Danio rerio: one gene and its partner. The protein of the gene in region 2 purifies or fractionates together with the protein of the main gene of each other region. This does not show direct contact. Links are inferred from orthologs where the notes say so. Each region holds a gene or a part of one and is shown on either strand. Other genes may lie near its edges. The genes, in order: wdr82 and zc3h4.

Region 1 (2,871 bases), on a different chromosome or scaffold from region 2:
CTTAATATATTACTCTCTGTGGATATTTTGCTCATTTGCACATATTTCTCTGTGCATGAACCACAAATGCTCAGTGAAAGAGCTAAGTTCACTCATAAAGTGCAGATGGGACATTTCTATGTAGTATATACTTTTTCATGCTGCTTGCTATAGTGCTACTGTGCTGTCATGGCATTTCTGGTAAATTGACACCTATTATTTAATGGGCTTGTTTTTTTTTTAACCAATGTAATTTAATCTTTTGAGGTAAAAAGTTTTTCAAAAATACTTAATATTACATCATAAATTAATAAATAGCCTAATTATTACAAAGCATTTATGATTATATTAGAAAAAAGCATAATAAGGCACTTTTAAGAGTGTTTCTCTTTCTTACTGCAGGGTTATAACAACAGTAAAGGTGTCATTTTGGAGGCTTCTTTCACACCAGACTCTCAGTTCATTATGATCGGTAAGTCTTCACTTAAGCTTCTCACAGGACTACAAAAGGACTTAAGATGAGTTTACAGAGATTGATCGTGTCTCCTCAACATTTCCAGGATCAGAAGATGGGAAGATCCATGTGTGGAATGCTGAGAGTGGGATGAAAGTAGCGCTTCTGGATGGGAAACACACTGGTCCTGTTACATGTCTACAGTTTAACCCCAAATTCATGACCTTTGCCAGTGCCTGTTCTAACATGGTAAGACTTAACCGAAGGTAGACACAAATCTGATGTTTGGCATAACTTACTGTATATGTAGATGGAATATGTGCAATTTGTCACATTTTCAAAACTTGTTTTGGGAGAAACTTGGAGGTAGTTATGAATTAGTTAGTCTTAGATGTCATGCCAAACACTGCTCACGGACATGTGGCTAAATGTCTGATGCATATGGCACACTTAATTGGAAACACTTTAACAGATCATCAGTTGTCCTCTGATTTCTGGGAGTCTAGTGTACAGCAATATTAACCAGTCCACCTGGAAACAAGTCTGATTGGATAAAAAAACTGCTGCAATGTTTATCTCAGTCTGCGTCCACATACATCTCCTACTGATTTCCTATATGTTTTGCTGACAGATCATTAAGTATATTGATGCGTTGTTGTAAACGTTTGAAGACCTGAATGGATGACGCATATGGCTAGGCATTCTGTAGACTCTTCCACGCACATACATAAGACACAACACAAAACGAATGGTTATTGGTTGGTAAAGCTGTCAGTCTGAAATGGCATCATGGGTGGTTCTTTAACCATTGAAATCTGCCAAAGTTCCCAGACCTTCAGCCATCAGTATATGCCTTAGTATTCCTGTTCATCTCAGTGGCATTTTTTTTACTTTGCATTCGTTTAGTACTCTATGCTTTCTGAAAATAATAAAATGTCAAATGGTGCAATCTAATCGATAGTATAATTTACTATAAAAGATTCACAGAATTTAAATGAATGAAAAGGAAATTGCTATGGACTGTAGTCTGTGAATGTTAAACTCAAAACAATTATTTAAGCATATGTGTTTTTTGTTTGTGTAAATAGATCAGAAAAATATTAGCCTCATTTTAAAGTATTACTTTTATTATTATTGTTTATTTTTGTGACTTGTGATGCAGACTTAAAAAAAAAGAACTTAAGAGATGAACATAAAACAACTGTATAAAACAGCCTTTTTAGTATAAGGTATTTTAGTCAGTAGCATTCACTGCTAATTTTTTATGGTAATTATTGGAGAAATGGAATGGGGAAAATGTGATATAAAAAGAGTACACAGGGTTGTCAAATTGTCCTTAAAATCTTCTGCGTTTTCTTTGTGTAAATACTGCAGTAGTCACTAATTGACGGCCATATATATATATATTTATATTTATATACACATACAGGGTGGGCCATTTAAATGGACACACCTTAATAAACTTATTGGGAATTTCACACAAAAAAAACAATGATGTGCTTGCTTTTAACAATTTTATTCTTTCATGAGTTATTTACAAGCCCCCTCACATACTATTGTGCCACAAACAGGACGTTAATATCACCAGCCATTCCCATTTTATTAAGGTGTATATAGATGCATCATTATTCCTGATGTATATCACAAACATATTCTGAAATGTCCCCTGCACAGGCGTTCTGGTTACCCACCATTGATGATTGATGGGCAGCTGTCATCAGTCGGCCTGTGATGTTCTTCCAGCAGGTGGCGTCATTCACCCTTCTCTTGGCACACATGAAGATGTTCACCGTGGGAATTTTGGACTGTAAATAGATTTGGCTTGATGCCGAGTTGTATTATTATTATTATTTTTTTTTCATTTTATATTTGTATGATTAAAAAGTTTTTGTAAAACATTAAGTGATCTGTTCACACATTCTGTTTTGTTTGAGGTTGTAACAGTGCTCAATGAAACTGAGGTGATGTAAAACATCCAGCAGAATTGATCTTAGCTCTCCAAACTATACCAGAAGTCAGCACCTGTAGATTTAGCATCTTGTGCGATCTAAAAAAAAAATGTCAATGGAACTTTTTTTTTTTTAATAAACATGTTTATACAACTTTCCAAAGATTTGGTTTTGAGGCCTTTCAGACATGTAATGCTTCTAGCTGTTGTGTGTAGTCCAGTATAATTGTGTCTGAGGGGAACTGCTTTTATACCATTATTTTACCTGTTTCTGTTGCATTTCTTTGTAATATCAGCATTGTAAATTGCTTATAAAAACAAATTTTATAATCAGTATACACTGACCAGCCTCTCTGAAGCGTCATCTTGTTTTGTAACTTACTTTGCACTAACAAAACAACACATTTTATTTATATGAGTTGTAGCTTTGTTGTCACTGTAATTTGTTTTATTTTTTAATCCAAATAGGGTTTTTTTTCAGGTTAGCCTC
Region 2 (4,567 bases):
CCAATTCCCCATCTTCCTGCCTGTTTAACATGGAAAACAAATGATGAAAGTCAGAACTCAAAACAAAAAATGACAGACCTTTTTTTTTTTTGACTCAAGAACCCTTATTTGTTCTTCATCTATAACTGACAGCTGCACAATGGTTACGGTTTTCAAAATTATGGGAGTGCATTATCATGGTCCACTATATTGATTAGCTATTAAATGGGCCTTCATTCTTAATTCTGGCATGTCTATTTCTGCTGGTCTGACTATTAAACACTACAAGTGAAGAGAGTAAGAGAGATGTCTTTATGAACACTGCTGCCAATCTACAGATGCAACATTGTAATTTAGTTGTGTTGAGAATCACACTAGGGGTGTCAAATGTTCAGTGCTCATTTGTGCATTGCTCAAAGCAACTCTGAGTCACTACAGAGCCACCCTGTTTATAGAAGATCTAACATATAGGTTGTATAGTAAGCAATTATAAGGTTTAGACAGGACTACACTTCAAAACAAAGATAAGGAGCAGTCACATAAGACAGAGAAACATTGCTGCACTTTACAGTGCGCATTGACAAAACATTATCAATTAACCCCTAAACTTTACTCCTGAAAAAGGAAACTTCAGGAAAAGGATTTGCTAAAACATGAACCTAAATGCAAAGCCATGGATGAGATATGATTCAAGATACACAAGTTTCCACAAGTATCAACCAACTGACACATTTACATATTTATATTGTAGTATATTTTAAGTAACTTTAGCTAGTTTAAAAAAAGCTTTATGCTATTAGTAATAACAATAAAAAATTAGTCAATTTGCCAAACTTTAAAGACAAAACTTTTACATTTAACTAATAATATAAAAAACTCAAAATCATTATAAAAATACAAACTTCCTCATCAGTGGACTGTAAGAACCATATCTTCCATGGCTAAACTCAAGTTATCTGTTCTTCTGAACAGGTAATGTTTTTAAAACAGTACAGAAAGAATCAATTGGTAAATGGTCACTAATGATTAACTACAAATCCATTCATCTCTATGTCAACAAAAATATTTCATGGGTATTATTAGCATGTTGTGAAACAAAATATAGTTACATAACATAGTGGGCTCTCAGTAAATAAGGAGACCACCTTTTTTAAAAACCTCATTTGATTCTGTAATTTTTCATTCTAATGTTTTTGAATACAATGACAAAACAATAGGTTCAAACAAAATTATAAATGGGGCTCCCTCGCATTATTTACTTGTCAAACACACTTTGAAATAAATAACATCTGACAAAAGCAAAAAAAAAAAGTATGTATACAATGTAACAAAAATGGATCTAGCCATAAGGTGTTGCAAGAAATTCTTGGCAAATTTACAACTAACTTAAAAAATAATAATCATTCAAAGTATGTTCACTGTATGTATGCAAGTAATAAAAGACAATTGCATGCAAAGATATATAAAATAACTTGGCCTGTACATTTCTGGCAATACTTACTGTGAAATACTTATGTATGCATAAGGGAGGTGAAAGGTTGCAGTTTGGGCAAAATGGTTAACCACTTTTGTGTTCTGATAAGACCTTGAATGCTTCTGAGACATTGAACAGCACTGGACCATGAAGGGATGCATGTGTACATTAAGCTAACTAAATTACAATAAAAGAAGTGTATGAAAAACAGGGACACCTGTTGTGGCATATTTACTAGATTAATAACAATTTAACATTTATTTCTACTGTCAACAAATTAATTCATGTGGAGGACTAAAAGTAACGGCATTTAACCAAATTAAAGCCCATGAAGCTTAAATGTAAAGAAACCTAAAACATTTTTATAATCCGAATCAACAGGCATATGTCGTGCTACTAATAAGACATAAATATAAAATAAATATTTAAAATAAATAAAATCATATACTACATTAATTTTAATGTACCTGTATGTTTTAACAACTTATTTTAAAAAACAAAAGCGGATGAGTTATGATTACATAGCTCCTATTAACGTTAAAACACAAATGTAACGCTCAAGCAACCAAACCCTAAAGGAATAAAAATATTTAAGTTATTTTAGTGACGTCTCCAATAAATCTATGTGCGTAGCTCGTGACACTTAGCATAAGTGCTAAGCGCTAAAGGGAGACAAATTATCATCCCGAACTAAAATTTGCGTTATTACGTTAAGATAAACTAAATCGTATTGCATTCGATGACCAATTAAATAAGGAATAATTAATCAGACGCCAAGTTATAAACCGTGCTAATCCGTCGCTATTCATTAGCTTCCGTTAGCCGTGTTTTGTTGCTAAACTGTTGGCTAACTGTTAGCACTGCTAGCTTTAGCTCGGTCCAGGCCTCGCGATGGATAAACAAATTCCTTAATGCGTAAAAAGGGATCAGTTTTACCACATAACATACGGTTTGCGTTGTGGTAATAAGTCGGAGTTTAATTTTAGGTCTATAACAAAAAAAAATTAGCTTGTGATTTCTTTTGTCCATCTGTTCTTTATCTGTGATGAAAACACTGTTACAGGATCAATGTTTTGACGTAGGGGTGGCCCCATGGTCTTCGATCACTAAAAAAACATTAGAAAGTGACTGAAAATGTCAATTTGATCATATTCTGAATGTTTTCCTGATTCGCTTGTGACCTTCCAGATTGCGCTGTGTAACGTTTCAAGATGGCGTTTCGTTACCTCTGTACGTTTCCCAGAAAAGGCGACTTTAATCCCTTTGAAAGAAAAAAAGCAAATGCCCGTGCTTTTTGTTTTTGGAAAAAAGCAAAGGACAAATCAATAGTTGGATAGAAATATGATGATATTACTCGACCTTTCGTCAGTGAGAAGGCTGTTGTGTTCGTGGTTGGCTGTTGGGGAGTTTGGATGGACAGTCATGCTTTCCACAGCCATTTCCTCTAACGTACTACATTCAGTGCAAAAAATCAACTGTCTTATGCGTTACTTGACTTTGATCTACTTGTTGATTGGCATTAGGAAGAGATTCAGTTCATTGTAGTCAATTCCCCCCTAACAGTTTAAAAGAGAAACAGGTTGAAAACGTTCCTGAGGTTCTCCGTCCTACAGTTGCGATGTGAAATGAAACTCATTCTCTTAAAATGGCGACGCTTCTTCTCCGAAGAGAATGGGCGGACTTACGTGACGTCGACTGTCACGGAAATGACCGATCGGGTCATGAAAAAAAAACACTTTTTTTTTTACTCTAAGGGTAATGTAATAGTTAAAATAGTATATATTAACTGTAATCATGCACATAATATCTTAATATAAAACGTTATTTTTATCAGTATTTATTATTATTATCATCATCATTATTATTATCATTATTCATTGTATTATTACTGTTTTATCAAAAAAGGGGCCTTGCAGTTAAAATATATCAACATTGCATTATCTTTGGTATCATATGTTTCAATACCTATTCTGGACCTATATATATATATATATATATATATATATATATATATATATATATATATATATATATATATATATATATATATATATATATATATATATATATGTATATATATATGTATATATATATATATATATATATATATATATATATATATATATATATATATAATTGAATATAATAACTCTAAAGTATCAGTTTTATACAACTCAACTTTTTATTTGATTCTATTTTGCAAGCACAGATCTAGAAAACAATCATTTAATGCTATTAATAGTGATCTACACTCCAATAAATATAATTCTGTCACGTTTATGTTTGCTTAAAACCATTATTATTGTAAATTATACTATTACATTTTGTTTGAAATTAAAATCTTATTTTGCCAGTGATGGGTTGCAGCTGGAAGGTCATCCGCTGCGTAAAATATATGCTGGATAAGTTGGCGGTTCATTCTGCTGTGGCGACCCCAGATTAATAAAGGGACTAAGCTAAAAAGAAAATGAATGAATGAAAATCTTATAATGATTGTCAAATGATTTGTCAAATCCTTTGAGAATATTTTTAAAAATAAAGAAGACTCTATATTATTTATACTCTTTATTATTTAATGTCTCTTAAAATAAAAAGTACTAATTTTCTTTTTTCCATTTCTTTGCAAGTAGACTATTATAAAATAGTAAAATGCACCATTTTCACTCATATCTGGACAGAAATTTTAAGTTAAATTAACACCATGAACGGACCTTTGCTCATAAAATTATGCATTATTAAAAATTAAATTCATCATATGTACATGACATATTTTGGTGACACATTTAACGCTCGCTAGATGTATAAAGGATCCCTGATAAATGTCCATTGTCGAGCTCTGATTCTGGCACACATCTCCTGCGTCATCATTGCGCGCCTTTACGAGTTTCACTAAGCGGCACTTTTGTCCCATTGAATGGGCAATAGAAAAAATAGAGCGTAGAATAGTCCAACTAACCCGTAGTTAATTGATTACAGCTTATCATCAGAAATACAAATATTCCGAGATGATCGATACCATCGAAAAAGAAGACACTATTATTAGTGAGGAGGAAGCTGCACAATATGATCGCCAGATTCGCCTGTGGGGTCTCGATGCTCAAAAGAGGTTCGTGG

Evidence for each region.
Region 1: the proteins of zc3h4 (region 2) and wdr82 purify together in Homo sapiens (affinity purification with western blotting; 4 studies listed by BioGRID and IntAct, with this or other methods). This does not show direct contact. The link is inferred for Danio rerio from reciprocal best matches to the Homo sapiens genes ZC3H4 and WDR82.

Annotation. Positions count from the first base shown.
Region 1 is NC_133181.1:44,014,457-44,017,327, forward strand, and holds the end of wdr82 (WD repeat-containing protein 82), read left to right. Parts: intron 1-381; coding exon 382-451; intron 452-539; coding exon 540-682; intron 683-2,107; coding exon 2,108-2,137; 3' UTR 2,138-2,335; downstream 2,336-2,871. UniProt on the Homo sapiens protein: Regulatory component of the SET1/COMPASS complex implicated in the tethering of this complex to transcriptional start sites of active genes.
Region 2 is NC_133190.1:26,185,258-26,189,824, forward strand, and holds the start of zc3h4 (zinc finger CCCH domain-containing protein 4), read right to left. Parts: upstream 3,118-4,567; 5' UTR 2,893-3,117; coding exon 2,813-2,892; intron 21-2,812; coding exon 1-20. Other genes in the region: sae1 (SUMO-activating enzyme subunit 1), read left to right, coding at 4,459-4,559. UniProt on the Homo sapiens protein: RNA-binding protein that suppresses transcription of long non-coding RNAs (lncRNAs). LncRNAs are defined as transcripts more than 200 nucleotides that are not translated into protein.